2 linked regions of the Coturnix japonica genome follow. Each later gene encodes a partner of the first gene's protein in a complex. Links are inferred from orthologs where the notes say so. Each region holds a gene or a part of one and is shown in the gene's direction. Other genes may lie near its edges.

Region 1 (6,702 bases):
AGTTTATCATTGTTAGGGCCTTACAAACTGTAGTAAGAATTCATACTGTAGAGGGCAAAAGGTTCAGCATACAGTGAGGCCGTTTGGCAGGCAGCCTCCAAACTCAGTCTGATCCACACAGCTTCCCAAATGACAAATAGTGCTGCTGTGGTTATGCAGCTCTGAGTGGTTCATCTGAAGTACAAAGATGACACTGGTATCCAGCTCACTGCGTCAGGGGAGTTTTGATTGTAGAGATGAGCCTTTATTTAGGTAGGCTGTTGTTTATGTGTTAACTTGTGTCTTAGGAGCTCTGTGTGCTGCCACTAGAAATATTCAGGAACTGGCAAATGAACTGGTGGAAGTGCTGCTGGATTTTATTTGATCAAGTAACTGACATCAAGAAAAAGCACCTACATTTTGAGCTTGAGTGCATATGCAGATCACTGTTTGCAGCTGTATAACTTATTAGTAATGAGAAATTTTTCTCCATCTGTATAAGAAAGCTTGTTATTCCTTCTGCTGCAGTCTGTGGGGTTTTTGCTTAAGCAAAATGTTGCAGCTCTACCTTACTGTAAAGGGCACATGAAATGTTCATGGGGATTTTAAGTTCAGGACTGATACGGTATCGTGTTTGTTCCCTACTGACGTTGCTTGTCTTGGTACTTTAATTTTTCCTTTGAAATGGGGAAAAAAAACACCATAGCTGTACTGCACAGAACAAACAACCTAGATTTTCTAGTCAGCCTGTATGACAGTCAGATTTGTTTGAGATTATTCTTTTTGTCCTCCAATCCAATTTCTTTGTCCTTGACAGTGCAGGTTCTATACTCTCTAGTGCAAATTTACTAATCAAACTTTAATGCATGTTTGGATGGAGAGCGGAGAGAGGAGTCTTAAACATTTCATTCAAAGGGTAGTCTCATTTCAACGCGACTTCACAGCTAAAAGTTTTTCTACAGTAAGAACATTTCTAAGAATTTAAATGCAGTTGCACACTTTAAATTGTCAGTCACAACAGAAATCATAGATTTTTACAGCTGGCAGTGTGTAACTAAACTAGAAGGGACAGCATAGCTTGCTTTCACAGTGCGATTACTTTTTGCACTGCTTGCAAATGTGTTCTTAAGGAAGAATTCATGTGCCCTGAGCCATAGGACAATTTTCTTGCAGAGGCTGAGCTTCAGTAGAAAACAGTGGACAAGTTGCATAGGCACTGGGGAGCTCTGCAGGTAGTGTTTAGTTGCAGCACTTGGCTTTTCTGCTGGAAATGAGGAGCTTGTGAGCAGCTGTGAAGGTTTCCCACAGTTGTTTGAGAGGACTCTTTAGGGCGCCTACTGGACTTCAGACAGAAGAATAATTCTTGCTAAGAGTAACCCTAACTATCGTTCTCAACTGGAACAACACTGATAGCATTTTCATATTATAGTGAGCGGTTGAATGAAAGGCACTTGGGTGTGTTTTCTCTCCTATGGCCTTATTTTTTTCCACTCCTGTTTCCTAGTGTTGCTTAACAACTAGCCATCAAGCAGTCTTCTCTGCTTAGAAGCTCAGTAAATGTTTTGATTAAAAACTCAAGCAGCTTTAAACCTCTTGCTGCTGAGGCTTAGCACAAGGTGCAGTCCAGTTCCCAGCACAGCTGGGTCACCAGGTGCCAGTCTGAGGCTGCATGGAGGGAGGAGTTGTCCTCTGCTGATGTATTGTACTTCAAATCACTGATGCTTACCTCCACGTGGACTAGACACAACCAGCAGATCAGAGCCAGGCATGGCTTGTATCCCTCATTGTGTCACAGGTTTGTTTGTCTTAACAAGTGATTGCTCCTTGGTGCTTGAGTCACTTTGAGCCCTCATCACTTCTGATGTGCAGAGAGAGGCTGGGGTGCAAAATTAGGGGAGTGGTGCTGTAAAATGTTCCATCACCTCTCTCTTTAAGCTGTGAAGCTTTTGAAAATTGTATTCAAAAGTTGTTGAGGTAGGAGTGCTTTCCAGCACTGGAGATGTGTTCTGAGATTGGAGCCGCTTTCAAGATGAAACAAGCTGTCGAGCTATGAGTCGCAATGTCAGCACATAGCCAGGGGCCTCGCACAGGAAGTGGCATCTGGAAGTTTCATTGCTCGGGGTATGTTTCTTCCCTTGAGCGTTAAGTTACTGTTTGTACAGTTACAAGCAGAATCTCAAAGTAGGCTCTAAACTTTGTTTATTCTTGTTGGCTTCTTGACATTTGCAATGAGAGCAGCCCCATTCTGCCTCATGATTTGAGGGGGAGTTGAACCTGTGTTCTTCGTGGCATGTGGGTTTTGTTAGTGCTTGAGAGGCGTTGTACACCTTGTGTGTGTTCAGGAGTATTGTGCCCTAAGAAATGCTCATTGCGGAGCCTGTTGGTTCTTTTAAAATTCCCCCATTATCTCTGAGTGATGTGTGAGACTTTTGAAACACAAACAGAAGCGAGATGCTCTTCATGCTCCTTGTGCAATAATTTGTTCCTTTCACTAGTGATTGAAACAAGAAGTACTTTGTTTTCCATTTGTTTTCTAAGGGAGAGCTTGCTTATGTAGTTTCAGTCCTTCTCCCTCAGCATTGATGCCTGTGTGGGTTGGGAAGTGGTGGTTTTTTGTGTTTCATGGACTTATTTTCAATTAACCTTTGAACTTAGTCTCTTAGTGTATTCCTGCTTCTTTCCTCACTTGTTTACTTTTATAGGTACTGAGTTACTTCAGAAGGAATAATTCACTGACTCCTTAAACAGCCCCTACTCTTTATGAGTGGTTTGCTAGAGATCTAGGAAGTGATTCTTGTACAGTCCATTTGATTTGGGAAGTTGAAAGGCTGTATGTTGGGCCTCTGCTGTCTATCTGCACAAATGCGATGCATGGCTCCCCATGGGTTGCTGCCATCTGTCCTGTGTGTAAAGCTGAGCTTGCAGAGATTGAGAAGACTGCCATCTAAAAGCAGCTTTTTTGCTTCTCAGGTTAGAAGGTGCAATGCAAGGCCCTAGTCATGAGTGGATAGATATTCTTCATTGTCACTGTGAAATTCTGACTCACCAGATGATACAGTGAATAAATTGTATTTCAGTTTCTTAGAATCTATTGAAATAAAGCCCAGACTTGTCTTTTCCTCTCTCAAGAAGCATTTTCTCCATTCAGGCCAAAAAGCAGCCGTGGTATAACAGCACGCTCGCCTCACGACGGAAGCGGCTCACAGCTCACTTTGAGGACCTGGAGCAGTGCTATTTTTCCACAAGGATGACACGTGTCTCAGGTGAGTTCCTCCTGCTTGGTGTTCAGCTTTTGACATCATTTACTTCTCACAGTCCCGCTTCTCAGGAAAGCTTCACTTTTAAGAGACAAGCCTTTGTTTTTCCCTGCCTTGAGAAACACTGCTATACATATGCATATATTTCTTCAAGTCACCTTGTGGAGATTTTTCATGACCAGTCTTTGAGGTTTTTAAGCTTATAAAGTATAATACTATTGTTTCAGAGCACCACATATGTTGCTCTGTAATGCTGTACTATGAAGGTCGTAACCACTAAATAGTTTTTCTCTAATCTTTGTTCTGAAGCTGCGGTGGCTGGGTAGTTTTTCTTCTAGATGTGGAAAAAGCACAGTCATTAAAACACTTATCAAAATACTAAAGAGGTGAAAACACGTTGATAAATGTTACTATATTTAATGTGCGGTACAACACTTGGAGGTTATCCTTTGTTGTCCAGATTGTGAGTCTTGGTTAACAAATGGCTTCAAGTACAGAAGCTGAGTGTGCAGCAGCATCATTATCCCATGGGGCACACCTTAGATTTAAGACTTGTTTTGTAGAATTAGAAGCTGTTTTCACAATTGCCTGGATTGCCTCATTCATAATTGAGTAACAGTGTGGCAGCAGCTAGAGTAATTGTTACATGGTGGATGGATGGTTCTTAATTATATAACGATATTCTCTTTGGAAGCGAACAGGTCAAACGGATGCCTCTTAAGGGAGAGGAAGGTCGCTCTCTGGCTCTCATGGGGAACAAGCAAGCTTTGGGGAAAAGAAGTTTAGTGCAATGGGCTGTGGCAGGCAAGAGATGTGCAGCACCAAGCTGTGAGCAGCAGCTTATACAAAGAGGGAGAGAATGCAGCAAAGAGCAGGTTGAGGGGAGCCTCAGAAGCACAAAAATAATGCAGGCAGGGGCTGCTGCAGCAGAGCATCTTTGCTTATAACCTTGGAAGGCAAGGACTAGCATGCCAGGATACAGATCAGCAAGCAAGCTGGGTCACAAATCCCTGCTCCTCTGTTAATTTGAGGTTTGGCTGCCTAAACATTTTCCAGCTTTTGAAAACTATTACTAATAAACAAAAAAAAATGTGGCCTTTTTATGTTCAAAGACTGCCAAGTGTTGTAGGAGAGCTCACTCTTGGATGGAAGATGCGGGCATGTCTGTTTGGGAGCAGTGGCTGACTTGGGTCCTGTCATGCCCAGCAACACAGTTCTAACAATTTGTGGCATGATGGGCTGCAAGATGATGGGAGAAGGTAGTTGTGTGTGACCAGCCAAACTCCTGTGAGGTGCTTGTAATGTTCTGCAGGCTGCAGTACTTCACAGATTAGCACAGATATTTCCATGTGTGCTATCTTGGTGATACGGAGCTGTGTTTTTGTTAAAATAATACGTTTATTAGCTAAGGATAACAAATTGGACTTTTCCCAGCATTCCCTTGTTGAAGACATTTTTCTTCATAATTGGAACTATAAATATGAATGCGGTGCAATTGTGCATTTTGTTTATGTGTATGTCAGCTGCACCAAAAGTAGAGGATTTGCTACGGCTGTTTTTGCCCTAAATAAGGGATAACCTGTAATGCTTAATTAGATTTTCTTCTCTTCAAAGTCATTCCTGCTTTTTGACACATTTTAAATAGGATTTAATATGGATATAAGGGGTTTATTTGCAAGAGATGCCTGAAAATCTTCTAGTAAGGAGCAGAGCAGTAATACAGCTGGAATTATGAAATGGCCTCGTGCTTTGACGAGGAAAATGTCTTGAGAAATAACATCCCGTTTTGCAGACATAGATGCAGAATAAATTACAGGAGGACTGTGTGCTTGATCTCTAAATGAGGGAAATGGAAGAGCAGCAGCTATTTGCTCCTATTAAAGTGTCAAAGGAGGAATCGGTCTTTGAAAAATACTTACTGATGTTTATGTGCTGCCTCTCGAGTTGTTTTCTTTAGTGGTCAGGTGCTGAGGGTTTAATTTAAAGCAGTGCTTTGTTCATTCTGATCTATCTGACATGAGTAATGTACCCATGGCTGTACCCTAAAACACGCTTATTACTGAACTTTGCTGTTTCTTTATGCAATCAAACATGAAACAGCTTGCAGGGGACACTTCAAAATGCCCTATGGTTACAAAGCAAGATAATTTCTGATGACAAGGAATTACCATGGTGCAGAAATGTTAGAAATAACTATTGCAATTTTTCTCCTTTTTTCACCCCAGTGTTTCCAAAGACTTCCAGTAAGTTGAGTTATATCACTTTCTTACGCTATTGATAAGGGAAGCTTAACTGTGGTGTAAATTAGCGACCTCGGCTGCACAGGCAAATGATGTGTACCTTTCTGCTGCTGCAGTGGGTGCTGTGGTTTAATAAAAGGCAAAGTATTCAGTAATGTGACTTGCATACTGGACTACCTGCAATCCAGGGTGCTGCATGTCAGAGCTGCAAGGAAGGCAAGGGGGAATTGCTGCAGATTCTGGGGGTTGCTACAAAGCCTGAGGGCTCTGCCTGATGTTTGACTGCCGTTGCTTGATCACATTAGGAAAGCTGGCTCGTCCATGAGACATGGCTGTAAGTTAGGAATTCTTCCTTATATAGGAAACTCTAAATTTTGAAATGGTTGAAATAAAATTCCTTTAGTACCGAAGAAAGTTAAGACTCGTGAGGTTTCGGGGAATCATTTTTAGCCCTCTGTACTGTAATTTACTTTTAACGTTTGTAGCGAACTGTTCCATTTTCCACAGAATATTCATCATTATTATTCACGCTGGCTGAATTTCATCTTGTCTGCTGAAGGTCATAATTTCACAAAACTTACAGCACATGGAGTCTGTTGGTTTCATGCTTGTCTCCTTTCTCTAGCCGTGAAACAGCTCTCCCTCAGCTCTGTTGCTTTTGGAGTAACAAGAGAAATACTTCTTGCTACAAGTTTTTTGAGTGTAATTGACACCAAATGTAGGCATATTGTACCTGAAGTACAGTTCTGGGGGAAAGGAATATATTTTTCACTTCCATAGAATGCTAGACATTCTTTACAGTGCAATTTGATGTGCTTAAGGCTTTTCTGTTAATAAACCTTATGGCCCGTAGGCTTTGAATTTGACTAAAATAAGTGAGCTCATCTATCAGGAAAGCGTATTTATGATCTCTAGGCAGATTCTCAATGCAGTAGGTTCATTGGAAGGACTTAATTTATGCTCTGAAAATCCTGCTGCCTTGAGGGAATGCCAAAAAGATGAAAGAGAGAACCTATTTTTGACCAAGAATCCTCCCCAAATAGCAAGCAGAGGTGGTAACACATGAAGACACGCATCATGTTTGCCGTTGTGTTTATTTACTTTCTTATTCATTTTTCACCCTCTGCAACTCTTCCACCTCTCCCTAGATGACAGCAGAACCACAAGCCAGCTGGATGAGTTTCAGGAGTGTCTATCCAAGTTCACACGCTACAATTCTGTCCGGC
Region 2 (7,146 bases), on another chromosome or scaffold:
TCCGTGTCATTTAAACACGTGACACGCTCACAGCAGTGCCCAGACAGAAACTGTGTGTGCATGTCTGTGGCCAGCGAGTGAGAGAAGGAAGAACATCCCCTTGATTGCTGAGCAGGTGAAGTGCTGCGACGTGTGTGAGTCGGGCAGTGGTACCCATGGATTTGCTCAGCCTTTTCCTGCTCAAGTAAGCTCTGCAGCAAAGCAGGACTGCACCAACAAATGTACAGATGTGTGTTTTATTGCTTCAAAACACTGCACACGAGGTAGCAGCAGGGTGGAGGTGGCTGTGCATCTCTCTGTTCTTCTGCACTTAGTCCAGACCCGAGGACACAGCTTGAAAGCACGCACATGAATCGAATTGCATGGGAAGCTTACCAAAGGAAGTGTTTGCTTGTAAACAGCATGAATAGGATCCTCTCTGACCGCAGGGGAAGCGGAGAGCCGCTCATTCACTGCCCGCTTGTGCAATCGGCTTCTGAAGTAAGAATGGGGCTTGAGGTTTAAGACCTGAACCTTCACACATCTCCAAGCAACAGAAGCAGCCTTCATGCTCTAAGGTCTGTAAGGGGACAAAGTCAGGAGGTGCTGCTCATGGGACTCCTTGGATTTGATAACAACGAGCTTGTCAAAAGGGAATTATGTAGATATCCCAGCAACAGACTGGCCTGTGGGAGGGCTCGAGGGGAGGCATCTGAACACCATCACACTACAGTCCCTTTGATGTCATTGCACTCTTGTCACGTGTTTGATATCTCAGCACTGAATCCACCACTGAATGTCGCAGTGTGTAAGGCTGATGGTAGCATTACCGCAGGTGTGATTTCTTGCCCCAAAATGGGACTTTAGTTCTTTATCACCTGAGCACACAACTTGGAGCCTTTTCTGAGCCGGGGGATTCTGTACAGCAGCTCTGCAGCAGACCATGTGTTGGCTGCTGGGTTTACACTGCTGGCATTAAGTCCAGCAGTTGTGTAAATGTCATCAGAGGTCTTGAAATAGCTCTTAATGCGATGGTATTTATTTTTCTGATAGTTTAATATTTGCCTGATAGTTTAATATTCACTCAAGTACTGGTGTGTCATGCATCTTCCGATAACTAACACAATGACTTATTAATTTCTTCCCATAGCAAGCAGCCGGTTTATTTATAAATGGCCCAATCCAACAGGGTCCCTCTGCGTATCCCATGGGATACACTGACAGAAAACCAGACCTGTCCCAGGCACTGGGGAAGTGGGGTGATGGTTACACAATTCCCATTGCTGCTGGCTGCTCCAGTTACAGAGATAAAGGGTCAGAGAAGTGGAGCAGTGGAGACAGATAACTGCGCATCACAGGGCGAGCAGCTGAGCTCGCAGTGCGGGCACTGCCAAACCTAAGACAGATGCTGGAATGCCATGGGAGAAGAATTCCTTAAGTAACACGGGAATGGAACGGCAATGCCCAAAGTCCCCTTAGGGAACACTTAGGTAGTGACAGGACAAGGGCGAATGGCTTTAAATGAACATCACGGAACCACTGAGGTCAGAAATGACCACCAAGCCCCTTGTCCCGTGCTACAAAGATGGAGGCATACGTGGAATGAGGGAGCTGCAGTCAAATATGGAACCTGAAGATCTGATCATGTCTCTTTGCCAGAGTTTCCTAATCCCTCTTACCAGAAACATCCCTCGCTTCACAATCACACCTTATTCATGTCATCAAAATGGATGATATGGGAATATTAAATATTAAAATGTTTTATTATTTACAGATTAATAATATTGTGTATTTTAGGAGGGCTGCTCTGAAGGTCGTGCCTCCTATTTTATAACGGCCCACAGTGTCAGAGGTGGATGCTGGTGATGGGGCAGTAGTGGTTGAGCCTTCCCACCAGTATTCAGTTCTGTGTTGTTGCCATGGGACAGATGGCAGCAGAGGGGCTGAATGGAATCGGACATGGAAGTGCGTGTGAAGCAGAGGTGTGTCACTGAGCAACTCCATGCAGAAAAAACGGCACCCACTGATGTACAATGACACTCAATGAGCGTTTCTGCAGATGGGACTGATCACTGATGGGACTGATCACTAATGGGACGTCACTGATGGGACACATCACTGATGGGACTCATCACTGATGGGACGTCACTGATGGGACGCAGCCTTCCAGGAGAGGAAACACGGAGCAGAAGTGCTGATGGCTCCGTGCGTGCTTTGCCTATAAGGGGAACAAAATACAACAGCGCGTTCCGAGCTGCAGTGAATCGCTCCGAAAAAATCTGCAGGCGTTCTTCGAATTGTTTGGTAAAGGAAAAAAAATATATATATATATATATAAAGGCAAAGAAAGGAAAATGCAGCCCCTGGGATATCCCTTTATGGCAGATGCATTTTGTGTTTAAACGCATTAATGGCTCTGCTATGCCGTGACTCACACAGCAGCACGGTTTCACGCGTTTCTTAAAATACACGTTGAGCGCTGACGGCGGCGCCGGGCGCTGCCTGCGGGAGCGGCACGGGGAAACCTCAGCGCCGAGCGCCTGGGAACGGGCACCGATGTGAACTGAAGAGCCGGCCGTGCGCTAACACTGCGGCTCCCCGCTCCTTGTTCGCTTTGCTGCCCGTTTCTCTCTTGCTTTCCGGCTCCCCGCCCTACAGCTGCCCCTCGCCGGCTGCCGGGGACGCGGTTTCACGGGGGCTGATCGCCCCGAGGAGCCTCGTGGCGACGGAGCCGGGCTCCGCTTTTCGCTTTCGCTCGTGGGAGCAGCGCGGGGCCGCCGGAACTCCGCAACCGGGGTCGGGGTCGGGGTCGTCCCGGAGCGACGGGCGCGGCCGGGAGCATCGCACGGTGCAGCTCGGGGGCACGGCGGGGCGGGCGGACAGCGGGGCGGAGCGGAGCGGGGCCGGGCCGAGCTCCCTCCTCCCACTTCCCCGTGCGTCAGGGCCGGGAGGAGGAGGAGAAAACTGCTTTTTTTTTTTTTTAAAGCCTCCAACTACTTTAGCGCGGAGTCGGCAGCAGATGGTGGACACGGCCCGGGGCTGCGGCGGGGACAGCGAGGGGATGCGCCAGCCGCGCTCCGCCCGCCCTTAGCCCCCGGCCCCGCTTCTTCTTCTCCTTCACCTCGCCCTCCACCATCACCTCTTCCTCCTCTTCTTCCTCTCCCCGCTCCGCTCCGCGCCCCCCATGAGCCGCCCCGCTCCGCCGCCGCCCCGCCGCGCCGCCGCGCTCCTCCTGCCGGCAGCCCGCTGCCGCAGCGCCCCGGCCAAGCGGCTCCAGCCGCTGCACGACGGCCCCGCCGAGGAGGCTCCGGCCGCCAAGTGCCCGCGCCTGGCCGAGTGTCCCGGCGGAACCCCGGACTGCCTGAGCGCCCCCGGCTCGCCCTGCGCGCCCGTCTCGCCCGCAGCCGGCGGAGGAGCGGCGGGGAATGTGGGCACGGCGGGGCCCAGCCTCATCGCCTCGTACCTGCTGCTGCCGCTGGCCGAGCGCGAGCAGGTGTCCCGAGCGCTCAGCGTCAGCTCCGGCCGGGAGCTCCGCTGCAAGGTGAGCGCCGGGCGGTGCGGGCTCGGAGGGGGCTGAGAGGGGACGAAAGGCTTCGGGGCGGTTCGTGCTTTCCGTCGGTTTGGCTTGTGCTCCCCGTCGTCCGTGCGGAACGAACGGCGGAGCCGCGGGGAGGCTCCCGGTGCCGCTCCCGAGCGCGCTGGCGCTCCTCCATTCCCGGCATTGTTTGCAAAGAGTCTCTAGACGCGATTCCGCTCCCAACGCCCTCGAGAACGAACGTTGTGCTCGTTTCCTTTGTGCAGGTGTTCCCTCTCAAACACTACCAGGACAAGATCCGGCCCTACGTCCAGCTGCCCTCGCACTGCAACATCACCGGCGTGGTGGAGGTGATCCTCGGGGACACCAAGGCCTACGTGTTCTTTGAGAAGGACTTTGGGGACATGCACTCCTACGTGCGGAGCTGTAAGAGGCTGAGGGAGGAGGAGGCCGCCCGGCTCTTCCGACAGATCGTGGCGGCCGTCGCTCACTGCCACCAGTCGGCCATCGTGCTCGGAGACCTCAAGCTCAGGAAGTTTGTCTTCTCCAACGAGGAGAGGTGAGCGGCTGTCACCGGGCAGGTGGGGGGAAGCCTGGTTCAGAAGGGCAAAGAGCATCCCAGGAACAGGGTGGACCTGTGCCCCGTGTGTGCAGTGGGGCGCCTGCTGGCTGTGGTTGGGTCTTGGCTGAGGAGCTCTCCATCAGCCTCCCCTCTTCCAGCAGAAGTTCAGTGAGGCAGTCACAGGGAGTCAGTTGGGTCTTGGTGATGATGGATGAGTTTTGGGGTCAAATGGATGAAGGGATGGGATGTGGAGGGAATGAGGGCAGCACGGTGCTGCTCAGCATCTCCGCGTTGGTGGCAGTGCTTCTGCTGCTCCATGGATATGGGCATGCACGGCACAGAGGGCGGTCCATGGTTAAATGTCCTGCAGAGGGGAAAACTGGTAGAACTTAACCTAAAGCCTGAGTTATGGCAAGGTGGTTCCAGCTTCCCCCATCTGCTGGCACGCTGCTGGGATCAGCTTCTAAATCTAGACCGAGGCGAAGCATTCAGTGTCTCCCTGGAGAGCTGGCTGCTCTGTGCACTGCGCTGCACGTGGCAGGGCTGGGAGTGCGGTGTCAGCCCCGGGAACTGACCCTGAGTGGCTGCTGTGCTGTAGGAAGCTCAAAACATGGGCACAGGCTGCAATGGGGTCGTGCTTAATGCGACGAAACGGAAGGAACCGCTGTGTTTGGTTTTCTTTTTTAACTGCTTCTGTGGGATATCGTTTGTGAAGGTGATAAGACGACGAACCAGAACTGCACCTCTTAAACAGAAACAGCCGTATGTTGACATGCAAAGAAAGTAATTCCTTTGAAGGAAACTATTGCAGCTTTTCCCGCCCCTAGTGAGATGAAACATTTGTTGAAATGTTACATTGCACACAGCCCGGCTCGTTTGGAAATTGGCGTTGCACAGGCGAGTGTCATGTGCATTGCGTTTGGCAAGAAGAGGGTTAAGCAATGGCAGGCGGGCGCTGGGGCTCACCAGCACAGGTGCAGTTTCAGTGCTCCCGCGGCCAATCCTGGGCCCACGGTTCGCATTGAGTCACATTTTCCGTTTACAGAACCGATGGGTATTTTGCATTGCAGCGGGAGGTCACGCCGAGGACAGGCTGCAGTTAGCACATCCCTGTGGCACGTGAGCCGTGGCTGCTGGTGGGAAGCTCCCGGTTTGCCACTACCGGGAGCAGGGCACCACCTGGAAAGGCAAAAGGGAGAAAATAGGGATTGAGCAAGCTGGTGAGCGCCGAGAGTGCAGAACAGCCAGGCTTTGTGTTGTGAAAATGAATGCTGGGATGGCAGCAGGAGCCTCGCTGGCGTTCCTCGAGAGCCCAGCATTTGCTGTCGGCCCAGCAAATGAGCGTGCATGTAGCTGCACTTGGGGCTGGGATCAGCATCCCTGGTGCAGATTAGGAAGTTGTCGCCTCTCCTTTGCTAATGCATGGAAGGGAGCGGTGGTCGCTGTGCAGAGCAGTTGGTCTTGCTGCCACATGTCTCTAACCCATGGCTTCTCCTTGTTGCTCCCCACAGGACGCAGCTGAGGCTGGAGAGCCTGGAGGACACGCACATCATCAAGGGCGAGGACGACGCGCTGTCGGATAAACACGGCTGTCCTGCCTACGTCAGCCCCGAGATCCTCAACACAACGGGGACGTACTCGGGGAAGTCAGCCGACGTGTGGAGTTTGGGAGTGATGCTGTACACGCTGCTCGTGGGCCGCTATCCCTTCCATGACTCGGACCCTAGCACCCTGTTTTCCAAAATCCGCCGCGGACAGTTCTGTATTCCTGACCACGTCTCCCCCAAAGCCCGATGCCTCATCCGCAGCCTCCTGCGGCGGGAGCCCTCCGAGAGACTTACAGCCCCGGAGATCCTGCTCCATCCCTGGTTCGAGGCGGTCCTGGAGCCAGGATATACAGACCAGGAGACAGGGACTTCTGATCAGATTGTTCCAGAATACCATGGAGACAATGACGATATCAGTTCCTTCTTCTGCTAACCCTGATATCTCAAGAACCTCGCCATTCTCACCTCTGGCATCTCCGTAGGGTTTGGTTATTTTATTTTTCCACATTACAGACTCAAAGCATCTTAAAGTGCCAGTATGGTCAGAAAAGTGACCTTGTTTCAGATGAACGTCGACCTGCAGATCTCTGCTGTGAGCACACACAGAGGCTCGATGCTCGCCCTGCCGGCAGCATGGTCCTGCTGCCTGGAGGAGCTACATGGTTCTGCTCCTGCCTCCCGAGCCCTATGCCCTTCCTTGCTGTGTTTTGGCTGCAGAGTCTTATTGCTGGCAATGGGAGAGACGCAGAGCCTGCCCTCGGCATCCCCCTTTGCCCCAGGTTGTATGGACGGTGATGTGCAGTGGGTGGAGGGCACAGGGCATTTCTCTAACTGAGCAAATCTGACAAATTAGGTATTTTTGTTTTGTTTTTCCCTTCATTTGTTTTAAAGTTGGGGGAATTGACTCGGTGTCTTGCAAAGCAGTTTTCTGAATGTAAGTGCACTTTAGTGAGGGAAGGAGGTCTTCATCAGCACATCCAGCTGCCTGCTCGTTGCCCCAATCAGCCCTATTTCCATAGGGATGAAGCTATCAGATCCTCCCCTAAGAGAGATCCCTGCTGTGATCACTGCCGGGACCCTTCTGACATGGTTGTGGTCGGGGGAGGGGGATGTAGCTGATCTCCAGCTGGATCCCCTCCGATGCCATTTGCTGAATGCAGAACCATTTCAAATAGCCTTCAGCCTCAAGTTACCGCGGTGTGTCCTGTGCGACTTCATGCCCTCAGCAGGCTGGTCAGGCAGCGGGTCTCAGCTCCCAGTGCCAAAACGTATCCGTTTCCCCAAGCATAACACTATCAGGAGGGCACCTTCCCTTGGACAGCAGAAAGGGGCATCTTGTACAGTATATGTAAACATGTTCGCGTCTTCCTACAGGCTCAGTTCTTCTTCCCCCCCTTGCTCCTAGAAAGTCAGTCTTAAGAATAAAATCTCTATACGCCCTTAAGTTGATTATTCAGGTATGTCGTTGGCCTGTGCCTACCTTTGGATTTGTTTTTTTTTCCCCCCCTTAAATTTTGTTCTTT

The links.
Region 2: the proteins of COP1 (region 1) and TRIB1 are in contact, whole or in part, in a crystal structure (PDB 5IGQ), measured with the Homo sapiens proteins. The link is inferred for Coturnix japonica from reciprocal best matches to the Homo sapiens genes COP1 and TRIB1. Residues at the interface, in NP_071902.2 of Homo sapiens: Ile423, Ser425, Val441, Lys472, Tyr491, Trp517, Asp534, Ala556, Asn557, Cys559, Ala576, Asp577, His578, Lys600, Ala601, Ser603, Thr618, Lys643, Asn644, Phe645, Phe699; in NP_079471.1 of Homo sapiens: Asp355, Gln356, Ile357, Val358, Pro359, Glu360, Tyr361.

What each region holds. Positions count from the first base shown.
Region 1 is NC_029523.1:4,927,989-4,934,690, reverse strand, and holds part of COP1 (E3 ubiquitin-protein ligase COP1), read left to right. Parts: intron 1-3,127; coding exon 3,128-3,242; intron 3,243-6,624; coding exon 6,625-6,702. UniProt on the Homo sapiens protein: E3 ubiquitin-protein ligase that mediates ubiquitination and subsequent proteasomal degradation of target proteins.
Region 2 is NC_029517.1:125,152,344-125,159,489, forward strand, and holds the start of TRIB1 (tribbles homolog 1), read left to right. Parts: upstream 1-2,852; 5' UTR 2,853-3,163; coding exon 3,164-3,520; intron 3,521-3,780; coding exon 3,781-4,073; intron 4,074-5,587; coding exon 5,588-6,056; 3' UTR 6,057-7,146. UniProt on the Homo sapiens protein: Adapter protein involved in protein degradation by interacting with COP1 ubiquitin ligase. The COP1-binding motif is masked by autoinhibitory interactions with the protein kinase domain.